Linked DNA regions of Anolis sagrei. The protein of the gene in region 2 interacts with the protein of the main gene of each other region in a biochemical or structural test. Links are inferred from orthologs where the notes say so. Each region holds a gene or a part of one and is shown on either strand. Other genes may lie near its edges.

Region 1 (7,454 bases), about 120 Mb from region 2:
TGGGATTTGTAGTTCACCTACAATCACAGAGCATTCTGAACCCCACCAACGATAGAATTGGGCTAAAACTCCAACACAGAACAGCCATGTGGGCCACAGCAACACGTGGCAGGGGACAGCTAGTTCTATATAAAAACATGAACTGGAAGGAGGTAAAAGAAGTCCAATCCATTCTATAGGTCATACTGGGGGGAAAGAAATTAAAATACTTAGGGGTGTATATACCTAAAAATTTAAATAATATAATTCAGATAAATTATAACCAACTATGGAAGAAAACAAATCAACAATTGGAAAAAATGGAATTGGGATATAACAACAAGGGTGAAGGCATATAAAATGATGATGCTGTCCAAATTTTTGTACTTATTTCAATGCCTCCCATGTAGCATTCAACCTAAAATAATAAAGAAATAGGATAACTCAATTAAAACATGGGCAGAAGGTTCTAGTAAAACCAGAATTGCAAATTCAATATTTTTTTCTCCACAAGAAAATGGAGTCTAGGGAACACCTTACCTCCAGAATTACTATGAAGCCTGTTAACCGGCTAGATTACTAGAATTAGATATTGGAGAGCCCAAAAAATGGGTTAGGATAGAGAAATTAACAAATGGATGGGAATATGGATCTTGCATTATAGGGAAAATTGGGGGGGAATGACCTAAAAAACACAAAAGGAGGCCTTTTGTTATCAACAATGACCTGTTGAGGATAACAGCAGAACAAACTCCCACTAATAGACAAGCTCCCAATAGGCTCCATAGACAACAGAAAACCCCAGCCATATCGCAATATGCTAAAGAAACTGGAACATAATGAAATAACAAAGATTGAGGACTTACTGAAACCAGACGGAACTGTAAATTTAAAAAACAAAAACCCAAAATTTAAAAACCACAGAGCTTATTCACTGGGTAAGGTGAGCAGAAGTGCAGTGAAGTGTGAAAGTGATTCATCTAGTAGTACTATGTTTCCATTTGCTTATATCAGGGATTCTTAAACCTTTTCCACCTGCGAACCTTTTCCACCCAAGAAATTTTTATGTGATCCCAGGTATATCTATATAAACAAAAATGTAATGTTTGTTTGTGGGATTAACATAACTCAAAAGCCACTGGGCGAATTGACACCAAATTTGGACACAATACACCTATCAGGCCAATAAGTGATCATCGGTTGCAAAAACATTGAAAAACACAGCAGAAGAGACTTAAAAAGCCAAAAAACAAAAAAAAATACATTACGGGTTTTGTTGCCCATTGCACAACATGAAATTGTACAACATACAGTTGCAGTGTAGAGTTGTAACATGCAAATTGGTTTGGCAAGTGCCATGAGAAAGCACAGCATGCAGCATCACTGTATGCACAACTCTGCTTCCACCACTATCTATATAAATAAAGATGTAATGTTTGTTTGTGGGACTAACATAACTCAAAAACCACTGGGCAAATTGACACCAAATTTGGACACAATACACCTATCAGGCCAACGAGTGACCATCACTCATAAAAACACTGAAAAACACAGTAGAAGGGACTTAAAACAGCAAAAAAAAAACATTACAATGCATGCACAAAACCACATATATATATTATATACACACACAAGACACATACATAGACTGGGCCACAGCAACGCGTGGCAGGGAAACAGCTAGTTAGAATATATATCGACATCTTTCATTGCTGCCAGGTTCCCTATAGCCATTTTACACCTACCTCTTCGCTGCACCATCGCCGCTGGCTGCATTCAGAACTGTCCTCCATTGCGGCTTCCTCAACACCCGCCATCTTTGATGACAACTTAGGAAGACTGGTCTATGAACCTGGGCTACTTTGGGAGTGGGAGGGTGACTTCACTTTGCATTTTTTTTATATACTACCAATCTAATGAGCCCCCGGTGGCGCAGTGGGTTAAACCCCTGTGCCGGCAGAACTGAAGACTGACAGGTCGCAGGTTCGAATCCGGGGAGAGGTGGATGAACTCCCTCTATCAGCTTCAGCTCCTCATACGGGGACATGAGAGAAGCCTCCCACAAGGATGATAAAACATCAAAACATCCAGGCGTCCCCTGGGCAACGTCCTTGCAGACGGCCAATTCTCTCACACCACGAGTCACTTCTGACATGACAAAAAAAAACCCCAAAACAAACAAAAAACAAAACAAAAAACAATCTAATAACTTGTAAGCCAGTCTAATAATTTGTACAAATAACCTGTAAGCTGCTCTGAGTCCCCTTTGGGGTGAGAAGGGCAGCATAAATATGTTGTAAATAAATAAATAAAAAATAAATATATTGTTTGGTGGCCAATAATTCACAATTTATGCATGTTTAGGTCACCAACAGGATGCTGGCCAATAAGGATATGATCTTTAGGCTTCTGTCTTTTCTAATTTCTCAGCTAGAGAAGAAGTTGGAAAGGTTATATTTTTGAACGACAATTTCCAGAACCTCCTGACCAACATGACCACACTGTGTGGGAGATTCTGGGATTTGTACCCCAAACAGGAGATTCCCCAAGCTCTGATCTAGACCCAGTTCCCCAGCCGTCCCCTAGCAATTTCCACTCACCTGCCCGTCTCCAGCGAGATCCCCCGCAGGTGAAGATAACCGCTCGGATGAACTCTCTGCCGCACAATTTCACGCCGTAGGGAGGTGTCCTGGCCTCACTCCCCAGCCTCATCTCCAAGAGCAGCACCCCCAGGACCAAAGCAAAGAGAAACTTGTGCATGGTTGGGCACAGACAAGATTGGAAAGTAAAGGTCTGCAGGCACACAGCTCCCGATAGCCTGCTGCTTCTCTCCGTGAGTCTTCTTTATAGCAGTCAGATCTATGCGCAAGGTAGCCAAGGATGTCCATCCACGTTATCTACCCAATTATCAGCAGAGAACAGGTGAAGACCTTTCTTGGACACTGGCGGTGGGGGTGGTGGGCAGTGATTCTTGCGTCGACTGTGCCAACTAGTCAGAGATAACCTTTTGCTTGTTATCATCATAGCGAGTAAGGAATCATTACCTGGCCTTTCACAGAGTACACATTGAAAAGCCAGGTGCATCGAGACAGAGCCATGGAAAAGCAAATGCTGGGAATAGACAATGACGCAGAGCTTGGAAAAGTTCATTTTGTGGGCTACAACTCCCTAAATCTCTCAGACAACTCTTGAGAGCTCAAATCCTTAAAAAAGGAAACCTTCCCAATCACTGCTGCTGCTCCAAAAGGCTTCGTATTATGAGTCATAGTGGGAGCTGGGTTTTGTTTGTTCTCTCACTAACAGGTTTGACGTTCTGGAAGTTGTCACCTGAAAAAGTAACTTTTCTCATTCAGACATGACTATTGCCAGACTACTGGCACTTTCAAAGCTACCACATCCTTTTTTAACTTTAAACTATTACATTTGGCCCGGCCATAGGTTTTTAAATCCTTGTGTGTTATTATTTATATGTGATTTATATTAATTGTATTATTTTTGTTTATTGCTTTCTTGTTTTATTGATGTGTAGTTGGGCTTGGCCTCATGTAAGCTGCTCCGAGTCCCTTGGGGAGATTGTGGCGGGGTATAACTAAAGTATTATTATTATTATTATTATTATTATTATTATTATTCTCTATTCTTGTTCATTCGTTCAGTCGTCTCCGACTCTTCGTGACCTCATGGACCAGTCCACGCCAGAGCTCCCTGTCAGCCGTCACCACCCCCAGCTCCTTCAAGGTCAGTCCAGCCACTTCAAGGATGCCATCCATCCATCTTACCCTTGGTCGGCCCCTCTTCCTTTTGCCTTCCACTTTCCCCAGCATAATTGTCTTCTCTAGGCTTTGCTGTCTCCTCATGATGTGGCCAAAGTACTTCAACTTTGTCTCTAGTATCCTTCCCTCCAGTGAGCAGTCGGGCTTTATTTCCTGGAGGATGGACTGGTTGGATCTTCTCGCAGTCTAAGGCACTTTCAGAACTTTCCTCCAACACCACAGTTCAAAAGCATCGATCTTCCTTCGCTCAGCCTTCCTTAAGGTCCAGCTCTCACATCCGTAGGTTACTACAGGGAATACCATGGCTTTGACTAGGCGGATCTTTGTTGCCAGTCTGATGTCTCTACTCTTTACTATTTTATCGAGACTGGACATTGCTCTCCTCCCAAGAAGTAAGCGTCTTCTGATTTCCTGGCCACAGTCTGCATCTGCATTAATCTTTGCGCCTAGAAATACAAAGTCTGTCGCGGCCTCCACGTTTTCTCCCTCTATTTTCCAGTTGTCAATCATTCTTGTTGCCATAATCTTGGTTTTTTTATGTTTAGCTGCAACCCAGCTTTTGCGCTTTCTTCTTTCACCTTGATTAGAAGGCTCCTCAGCTCCTCCTCGCTTTCGGCCATCAGAGTGGTGTCATCTGCATATCTGAGGTTGTTAATGTTTCTTCCAGCAATTTTCACCCCAGCTTTGCATTCATCAAGCCCCGCACATCGCATGATGTGTTCTGCATACAAGTTGAATATGTTGGGTGAGAGTATGCAGCCTTGCCGTACGCCTTTCCCAATCTTGAACCAGTCTGTTGTTCCGTGGTCAGTTCTGACTGTTGCTACTTGGTCCTTGTACAGATTCCTCAGGAGAGAGACAAGGTGGCTTGGGATGCCCATCCCACCAAGAACTTGCCACAATTTATTATGATCCACACAGTCAAAGGCTTTAGAATAGTCAATGAAGCAAAAATAGATGTTTTTCTGAAACTCCCTGCCTTTCTCCATTATCCAGCGGATATTGGCAACCTGGTCTCTCTATTCTTATAGCCACATTATGTTACACCAAGCCAATACAAGAAGGTGAACTGCCTTCTTTCTATTTGTGCTTTTTTATACTAGGATACTATCTGCCCTTGTTTTAATCAAGGTTGGAGAGCTATTGTAATAGTCCTTCAGATGGCAAACTTCCTATCAAGGCCCTTCCACACAGCCATATAACCCACCCAGAATACCAAGGCAGAAAAACTCACAATATCTGTATGGTTATCTGAGTCCATACTGCCATATATTCCAGTTCAAAGCAGAAAATGTGGGATTTTATTCAGCTGTGTGGAAGGGGCCTCAGTCTTAACCAACTGAGTAAGTGGTGAAATATAATGGTAATATCAGGGCACCACATCAATATTCATATTCCTGCCTTGTTGATACATTTACATATTTATAGGTATAGTTCACCTTTATGACACTAAATAATAAGCTAAATATGACAAGACAGGAACACATATATCAGCATTGTTGTTGTTTTTTATTCGTTCAATTGCTTCTGACTCTTTGTGACCTCATGGACCAGACCACGCTAGAGCTCCCTGTCGGCCGTGGCCACCCCCAGCTCCTTCAAAGTCAAGCCAGCCACTTCAAGAATACCATCCATCCATCTTGCCCTTGGTCAGCCCCTCTTCCTTTTTCCTTCCATTTTCCCAAGCATCGTTGCCTTCTCTAAGCTTTCCTGTCTTCTCATAATGTGGCCAAAGTACCGTATATTCTGGCATATAAGATTACTTTTTAACCCAAGAAAATATTCTCAAAAGTCAGGGGTCATCTTATACACAGGAGTCGTCTTATACGTAGGAGTCATCTTATATGCTGGAGTAGCCTTATGCATGAGAGTCATCTTATATGCGGGAGAAGCCTTATACACTGGAAGTAGTCTTATAGAGCGGGTGCTGAAACTTCCAATCCAGATTGGAGAATCTGTGGTTGCTGCATATGGTGAGGGGAGCTCAAAAATGGCAACGGCCACGTCCCTGCCTTATGCAGCAACTGTAAGAAATCATTAAGGGCGACGTCGTACAAGTATGGTAGAAGAAAATCCATTCATCAGGATTCGTGGACTTAATGCAGTCCCGATGTTGAGGTGAAGGGGCACCTCACCTGGAAGGTGTAAGTGAAGGGTGGAGCAAGCTTCAGGCGTCTGGGTTGCCCAGGGTATGGAAAAAAGAGATCGACAGGCTCTGGGCCCAGAAAAACACAACTCTTTTACCTGTCTGGCCCACCCTTGCATCCTATTACCGTACCTCCTCCTCTGCCTCTCTGATCTCGCTCCTGAAGACTGCAGTGAAGTGGTGCAGGTGCGCAGATGTGAGATCTGAGAGGCAGAGAAGGAGGTACAGTAATAAGAAAATTACCATATTGAAATAAAATCTGATGCTTTTAAAATTTTTATTTGGTGTGTGTTGGAAGAGGGGTAGTCTTATACGGCGAGTATGTCCCAAACTCTATATTTTAATTGGAAAAGCTGGGGGTCATTTTATACTACGGGGAATACCATTGCTTTGACCATGTGGATATATATCAGCATGGGGCCCTATTATTTGCAATATATCTTATCAAATGCCCACTTTGAGAGCCATCATGATATAGTGGTTTGAGTGCTGAAGTACTGGGTCCAATCTATATAAATAAAAATGTAATGTTCATTTGTGGGATTAACAGATTTCAAAAACCAGTGGACGAATTGACACCAAATTTGGACACAAGTCTCCTAACAACCCAATGTATGTCCTTCACTCAAAAAAATTGATTTTGTCATTTGGGAGTTGGAGTTGCTGGGATTTATAGTTCAGCTACAATCAAAGAGCATTCTGAACCCCACCAACGATGGAATTGAACCAAACTTGGCACACAGTTCTCCCATGACCAACAGAAAATACTGGAAGGGTTTGGTGGGCAGTGTCCTTTGGTTTTGGAGTTGTAGTTCACCTACATCCAGAGATCACTATGCACTCAAACAATGGTGGATCTGGACCAAACTCTACACGAATACTCAATATGCCCAGATGTGAACACTGGTGGAGTTTGGAGAAAATAGAATCTTGACATTTGGGAGTTGTAGTTGCTGGGATTTATAGTTCACTTACAAATCACAGAGCATTCTGAACCCCACCAACGATAGAATTGGGCAAGCCTCCCACACAGAACCCCATGTGGGCCACAGCAACGTGTGGGAGGGGACGGCTAGTTTAACTATAAAAACCCACTGGGTGACTTTGGGCAAGTCATATTCTCGGCCCCAACTTTATCCTCGAAAAGAGCCTCATGGGGCTGTTCAAGGTTCACAGTCAGAGAGACTGTGCGAGGGTCCCAAATATTCATAGGAACAATGGGGACTAGGACCTGGATCTCCCAAGCATTCGTCTGAAGCTTCTTTCAACTACACACCTATAGTGCTATGATTCTCCTTTAACTGCAATGGGGTTTGTTCTTTGGCTGCATCAGTTTGAAGCTAGCGTCTAATATCATTAAATGGTCAGTGTTGATGAGGCTGGAGGAACTCTTTTTTTTTTACCCACATTTGGGACACTCACATTGACACTGAACATGTAGAATCTGGAAAGTTTTGCAGTATTTCTCACTTCAGCCACTGGAGTATGTCTGCTTTCTTCTCTATATGTGCTCTTCCACAGGCTTAGTTTGGCTGTATTTTGTTAGACAAGGTTGT
Region 2 (7,486 bases):
CAAGACTGCACTAGACCCTCCACATTCACTGGAGTTAAGGACACAGGTAAAAGAAGATAAACTCAAGAAACCCACTCCTCACTTTTTCTTGTTACCAGAGAGATCACCTATTTTGGAATCTCTAAGTCCTTTAGTGTAATCTATTTTCACCGGAAGTTAATCTCACAGTTGTGCTGAAGAACCTAGACATTTCTAGAGAGGTTCTCAGTGGAAATCTTTAAGCGTTCCAGCAAAACCCTGTGGTCACCTTTCAGCAGACATTGAACATAGAGTCACAATGGAGGACCTAGAGAGACCATATTAATCAAATCTGCAGATAATCAAATATGCAAATGTTAAACCTGCAAATGTGGATGATCAACAGAATTGGCAATTTTGGTGTGTCAACAAAACTACCAGGCATATACCCTGTACGGATGAATAATTATTTTGACTGATTCCTATTAGTAGTCTTAACTATTGTATGCCCATTTAATGATTTGTTAAATAGTGAGTCAAGATTTAGAGAAATTCCACTGATTCAACAAATCTACTTTAGTTGGAGTTACCAATAGGATTCAAAGACTTTTTTTTCTTCTGGAGTAGAGCAAAAACCCACTTTCTTAAGATAGCCAAATCACCATATTCTTCAATAATAGTAACCCCCTCATAAAAACATAAATAGTGCTCTGCTTAAAAAATCCCCAAACCTTTCTTCTTAGAAGACACCCGGCACCCCTTTGACCATTTTGGCTTCCTTTTCTTGCATCTTCTTTCCAACTCTATTATATCCTTTTGGAGGAGCGGTGACTACAACTGTACACAGTATTACAAGTGTGGTCATACTAGAGACTCATCAGTGCCATAGGTCCCCACTTTTCTTAGTGCCATACATAAATGCTATGGGTTGTTTCCATCCTGGTTAGTGGGAAAGTCTTAAACAAATTGTTCCCTTCCTGTTTTCCTTCTGATGGATGGAACGTTCCCATAGCCATTTTATTACTTCCACATCTCCAAGATAGGGGAAGCTTGGTTCCAGCACAATTACTTGCCAGTTACTTTAGACCCTGGGGCCAGGAACCAGTTGTAGCCTTCCTACATGGTGAAGCTTAACAGTGGTGCTCAGCAGAGGTGCTGGTAGGCAAGGCATCAGAGCGGCTACTGTACACAACCACCCCAGGGGGATATGAGACAATATCCGGTAGAGTTACTGCTACACCTGGTGGAGGGTGAGGGGAAGGAGTAGAAGTATTTGCTGGATTAGCAGGCATCAAGCTATGCAGTACTTGTTCCTCGTGCTCGGGCTTAGTGGTGGCTGTGAAAGGGCGCATAGTAGTGATGGAGGGTGAGGTGATCCTCCAGAGCAGCTTCTTGAGGGCTTTGCGAAACTCCCTGCGCATCAGGCAGTAGAAGATGGGGTTGAGGCAGCTGTTGGAGTGTGCCAGACACACCGTGATAGGGAAGAAGTATGCCTGAGACAGGAAGTAAGCATGGCTGAAGTGCAGGATGTTGAGCTTGATGAAGATGCCCCAAGTGGTGAGCGCTTGGTTGGGCAGCCAGCAGAGGAAGAAAGACAGCACTACGATAGTCACCGATTTGGTCACTTTGGTCCTGCGTTTAGTGCTCGGGCCACAAGAACTAGCACCCACATGCCTGTCACTGATGAAGCGCACCAACAAGAGATAACAGAGAGTGATGATGCCCAATGGCAACAGAAAACCCAGCAACACCTTCTGGGTTTGGTAGATCCCCAACCAGGTATTGTTGCCTTCACTATCAGGAATGCGGATGAGGCAGAATTCCTCACCAAAGATTGTAGTAGTGGTGGAGAAGATACCAGTGGGCAAGGAAGCTAGAATGGCCAAGATCCATATGAGAACACATAGCCATTTGGCTGGAGAGCAGGCACCCGAGAGCCCATTTTGTCTTCTGGTTTTCAAGGCAGAGGCCACAGCATGGTAGCGGGCGATGCTCATGGCAGTGAGGAAGAAGACACTGGCATACATGTTCATGGCTGTCACATAGGAAAGGATCTTGCACATGGCATTGCCAAAGAGCCAGGTGTAATCCAGAGCATTCTCCACAGCCCAGAAAGGGAGCGTCAGCACAAACTGGAAATCAGTCAGGGCCAGGCAGGTCACAAAGAGGTTGATGGAGGACTTTTTCCATTTGCTCTTCATCAAGTAGAGCACCAAGATGTTGCCCACCAGACCCAGGGCACACACCACGGAGTAGACGATGGAGATGAAGATCCGCAGGACCACAGAGGCGCTCCCTTGCACACCTTCGCTCTTCTCCAAGTTGACCAGGTTCCTCCAGAGCTCTTGCAAGGACTCGTTGGTCCCATTGGCCAGCAGCCTTTCCTCCACAAGGCTGGGAAGGGAATCCAAGAGTTCTCCCATCCTTGTTTCCTTTATGCTGGCTGCCAGGGAGCAGTAGCTGTATTCACAGAGGGCATCCATCCCAGGCAGGGAAGAGAGTACTGTTCCAACAACCCTTTTTATAAAGCACTAACAACCGGGAGACCAAAAAGGGAGGGGCCTCCTTCAGGTGTCTCCCCCAGATTTCCCTGGAGCCAAAAAGAAGCACTTCCAAAAGCGAAGAGACCTTGACTGGGGTTAAGGCTGGAGATCCAAGGTATACTTCAAACGTCCATCACCATGAAGCCTTCAAGTTCAAGAAAAGCAGAGAGGTTCATTTTCATAGTTGTTTCTATGTCGGATGCATAAGAGTGAAGGGAGAGGAATCAATGCTGACTGGGAAAAAAAGTATCCGATCAGTTCCCAAGGAAAATGACGGAGAATCTGATAGCAAGCAAGTGTTTTCCGAGGTGGCTGCAGAAGCTGGTGCAGAAAGCAGGTCGGAAATGGAAGGTGTAGCTCCGCCAAAGTCTGGGAATGTCTCTCTGGAGAGAGACTGCTGAGCAGCCTGTAGCTAGCTACAACTCCTCTCTGCCTTTCCCTCCGGCGGAGAATGACTCCTGCCTCTGTCTCGCTTTCTCTCTCCAGCGGCTGCCTGGAAGGTGCGTGCGCAGCGACGCCCCCGGGAGCTCTCCCTGGTGCTGAAATCCAGCCACCTGGAAAGCGGAGGCTTCGCCCGCCCCTCTCGCCCTCCTTCACGTCCAGATCAGCGCCCACATCTCTGGGGGGACTCGCCCACCCCACCCTCCTTCCTTCATTTTGCCATTAGATTAGTTTAAATGTCTTCCTCTCCTTCCCAAATTCACTCTATCCAGGTATGTCTGACAAGTCTATAGTGATTTTACACAAGGCATGGGTCAACTTGGGACCTCTAGGTGTTTTGGACTTCAACTCCCCCCTTTCCTAACAGCCTCAGGCCCCTTCCTTTCCCCCCTCAGCCAATGATGTTTTGGACTCCCACCATTCCCAACAGCCTCAGGCCCCTTCCTTTCTCCCCTCAGCCGCTAGTATTTTGGACTTCAACTCCCACCATTCCAAACAGCCTCAGTCTCCCTCCTTCCTCCCCCCCCCCCCAGCCACTGATGTTTTGGACTTTAACTCCCACCATTCCTAACAGTCTCGGGCCCTTTCCTTTTCCCTCTCAACCACTGGTGTTTTGGACTTCAACTCCCATCATTCCCAACAGCCTCAGGCCCCTTCCTTTCCCCCTTCCGCCACTGGTGTTTTGGACTTCAACTCCCACCATTCCTAACAGCCTCAGGCCCCTTCCTTTCCCCCCTCAGCCGCTAGTGTTTTGGAATTCAACTCCCATCATTCTCAACAGCCTCAGGCCCCTTTCTTTCCTCCCTCAGCCGCTGATGTTTTTGACTTCAACTCCCATTATTCCTAACAGCTTCAGGCCCCTTCCTTTTCCCCCTCAGCCACTTAAGCAGCTGAGGGGGGAAAGGAAAGGGCCTGAGGCTGTTGGGGATGGTGGGAGTCGAAGTCCAAAACACTTATAGGGCACAAGTTTGCCCATGTCTGCTTAAGAGTGACAGTGGTTGGCAGACCCGCAAACCAAAGAGGGGGACCAAGAGTACTCAACTTTTAACCTTCACATTGCTATAATTGGTTTTTCTCCATATCAGCTATTGAAAACAAAAAAGATTCCATGAAGCAGCAGTGAAGCCACACAAAATGGTGCCATGGGGAAGGAAAAGTAGGTATTTTGGGAAGCTTCAGCAAATGTATTTGGCCTCAAGATCAAAGTTTTCCTACCTGTGTTATAAAGAATCTTCCTCCTTAACTTTTCAGTTTCATCTCTTGAATCGGGTCCCATTTTGTGTGTTCTGCCATTTAGGCCAGTGGAGGCTGGCAGTTCTGAACATTATGTCTGAAATAGGTTTAGTTCCTTAGATAGCTCTCTTAAAATTGGGGCTAAAATCTGGAGTGGATTGACCACCCTACTGATGTTAGATACTTCAGCCACCCTAGATTGGTTCATATTGAAACCAAGAATTTCATCATAATGGCTGCAAAGCTAAGGAGAAAGATTACAGCAAAAGTCCAAAGCTGCAGCTCACTAACTGCCTTCAGAGAAGCACTTATTCTGGCTGGTTTTGTGGTCTGGCCACCTTCATTACTTCACTGAGTAGATTCTGGTAGACAACTATGCTAAAATGTTGTTTTAAAAGTTTATATTGTATTCTGTCGGTTGTCTACACTTTTTATTTGTTCTATTTGAGTTTTTGGGAAAGTGAGCTATATTTTAATTGAATATGTTTCAAATTCTTCAAAACATTTGAAGAATTTTAAAAAATCAACATGGCATGAAAATATTTGAAAAGCTAGTTGCAATTATTAAAGTATATTATTTAACAGGATTTTTATTTTGAAGTGAAAGTAAATAAAATGCAGGGGTCATGTGAAGTTTTTAAAAATCTAAAAGAATGTAGCAGGAATAGGATTATGGCACATCTTTGAATAATCATACAATCCTGTAGTTGATCTATCTACCGCATTGAGTCGCCTGTCAAGGGCTGAAAAATGCAGTATAGAAATAAAGCAAATAAATAAATAAATAAATATCTGTAAATCCTCAACCTGGGGTTCACAACCAGACACTGTGAAGACATCTGCCCTTGTGCTTTGCTACTCAGCTGCTGAGTACGCATGCCCAGTGGGGAGCACATCTCACCATGTTAAAACAGTAGATGTGTCTCTTAATGAGACATACCGCATTATCACAGGATTTCTATGCCCCACACCACTGGAGCAATTATATTGTTTAGCCAGTATTGCACCACTTGATATCCACTGGGAAGTAGCAGCCAATAATGAAAGGGCCAAGACTGTGACATCTCCAGCCCATTCTCTGTTTGGATATCAGTCAGTACGCCAATACCTTAAATCAAGAAATTGTTTTCTAAGATCTACAGAGAAACTCACAGGAACATCCAAAAGTCCAAAAGTGGCAGGCTAAAACCCGAAACCTCAATCCGTGACTGATGCAAGACTCCTTCCTGGGCACACAGAAGACTGGGTGACTTGGAAGGTGCTGAACAGACTGCACTCTGGCACCATGAGATGCAGACCCAGCCTTAAGAAATCAGACTACAAAGTGGAGTCCACAACCTGCGAGTGTGGAGAAGAGCAAACTGCAGACCACCCATTACAATGCAGCCTGAGCCCTGCCACATGCATAATGGAAGACCTTCTTACAGCAACACCAGAGGCATTCCAAGTGCCAACTACTGGTCAAAGGACATTTAGTATAATGCCAAGTTTTAAAACTTAGTGTGTTTTTTAAATACATTAGAACTGTACCCTCAGTTTGGTTCCGACACGATAAATAAAAAGTTGCTCTATGCTATGGGAAGGAATGTTTCTAATTGTTTTTTTTTTGACTTTAGGTGTAAAGCCTTCTTTACGTCTAAATCCAAACCCTTACAAATGCAAATGTTGTCACATTATGGGCACAATACTTATCTGGAAATACACCTACTTATCTGGAAATAAATGCAATTGCAGTCATTGAGTAGGCAACATGTGTAGGATTGTAATTCAAGGCTGCAATACTATACTCATGTACCTGTGAGTAAGCATCATTCAACTAAGTGGAACTTGCTTTCATGTGATTCTTGAGAACTTCCTAATGGTGAGAGCTGTTCAGCAGTGGAACTCTCTGCCGCTGAGTGTGGTGGAGGCCCCTTCCTTGGAGGCTTTTAAACAGAGGCTGGATGGCCATCTATTGGGGGTGCATTTAATACGATTTTCCTACTTCTTGGCAGGGGGTTGGACTGGATGGCCCACGAGGTCTCTTCCAATTCTATGATTCTATGTTTCTATGAATGTAACAGGAGTAGGATTATGGCACATGTTTGATGAATCATAAAATCCTGTGGACTGCTTGTACTTGCTCTATGATATGGGAAGGAATGTTTCTCATTGTTTCTTTTGACTTTAGGCTTAAAGCCTTCTTTAGGTATAAATTCAAACCCTTAGAAATGCAAATGTTGCCAATATTATGGGCACAATACTACACCTACTTGTCTGGAAATAAGTGCCACTACCTTCATTGGACTTACTTTCATTCATTGTTCTTAACTCCTACCTTCAAGGGTGGCTGAAGTATCTGACATCAATGGGGTAATCTATCCACTCCAGATTTTATTCCAAGAGCTAGCTAAGGTACTGAAACTACTTCAGACACAATGTTCAGAACCTTTGACAATTCCTTCCAAGTTGGGGTTAAAACCAACAATGGATTACCTAATCCCCTAATATCAGAAACACCAGCATCCATTGACCGGAATGGCAGAATACACAAAATAAGACCTGATTCAATGGATGAAATTGAAAAGTTAGGGAGAAAGATTATTTAAAACATTGGTAGGAAAACTTTGATCTTGAGGCCAATTACAGCCGGTGAAGCTTCCCAAAATGCCCATACTTCCTTAACCCATGGCACCATTTTGCATGGTCTCACTGGTTCTTTATGGGTTCTCTCCTATTTTCAATGTCTGAAATGCTGAAAGGTTTAATCATAGCAATATGAAACTTAAAGTTAAAAGCTGGGTCCTTTTGGTCTCCTTCTTTGATTTGCAGGTCTGTGAACCCCTGGAATGTCACTCTTAAGGCAGACTCTGAAAGTAATTTTCCCATCCTTAATCTGCCGGACAACAGTCAGACTTTCAGTGGATGAAGCAGTAACAATTATTTCCTGGTCCAAAAACCATAACATCACCACTATGTTGAATATCTCACAAGAGATATGGTTCTGCATTATATTCTCCATTTGGGCTCAAGCTTCTCAAGTCTCCAATAAACCAAATAGACAACTTGTTTTCCTTATTGTCCCAGGATGCTGTGGCAAAGACCTCCAGGGGACAGTGGCTGCCAGCAGGCCTTGCTGATTTTCTGGGAGATGTAGCAGGCCAAGACCTCCTCTAGGCTTCGCCACCAGAGAGGCTCCTTCCTTCCTTCCCAGTCCTTAATCTAAGATAGTCATATTTTAACAGTTAAAAGCAGGTTGTACTACCTATGGCTCTCCAGAGGACTTGTACTTCAACTCCCAGCATTCTTGTCCATTGCACAAGATTGCTAGG

What was found. The genes of interacting proteins can lie anywhere in the genome.
Region 1: the proteins of RXFP3 (region 2) and RLN3 form a complex in vitro, tested with the Homo sapiens proteins (2 studies listed by BioGRID, with this or other methods). The link is inferred for Anolis sagrei from reciprocal best matches to the Homo sapiens genes RXFP3 and RLN3.

Annotation. Positions count from the first base shown.
Region 1 is NC_090022.1:159,937,197-159,944,650, forward strand, and holds the start of RLN3 (relaxin-3), read right to left. Parts: upstream 3,021-7,454; 5' UTR 2,740-3,020; coding exon 2,580-2,739; intron 1-2,579. UniProt on the Homo sapiens protein: May play a role in neuropeptide signaling processes. Ligand for LGR7, RXFP3 and RXFP4.
Region 2 is NC_090022.1:280,433,643-280,441,128, forward strand, and holds the start of RXFP3 (relaxin-3 receptor 1), read right to left. Parts: upstream 3,008-7,486; 5' UTR 2,442-3,007; coding exon 1,089-2,441; 3' UTR 1-1,088. UniProt on the Homo sapiens protein: Receptor for RNL3/relaxin-3. Binding of the ligand inhibit cAMP accumulation.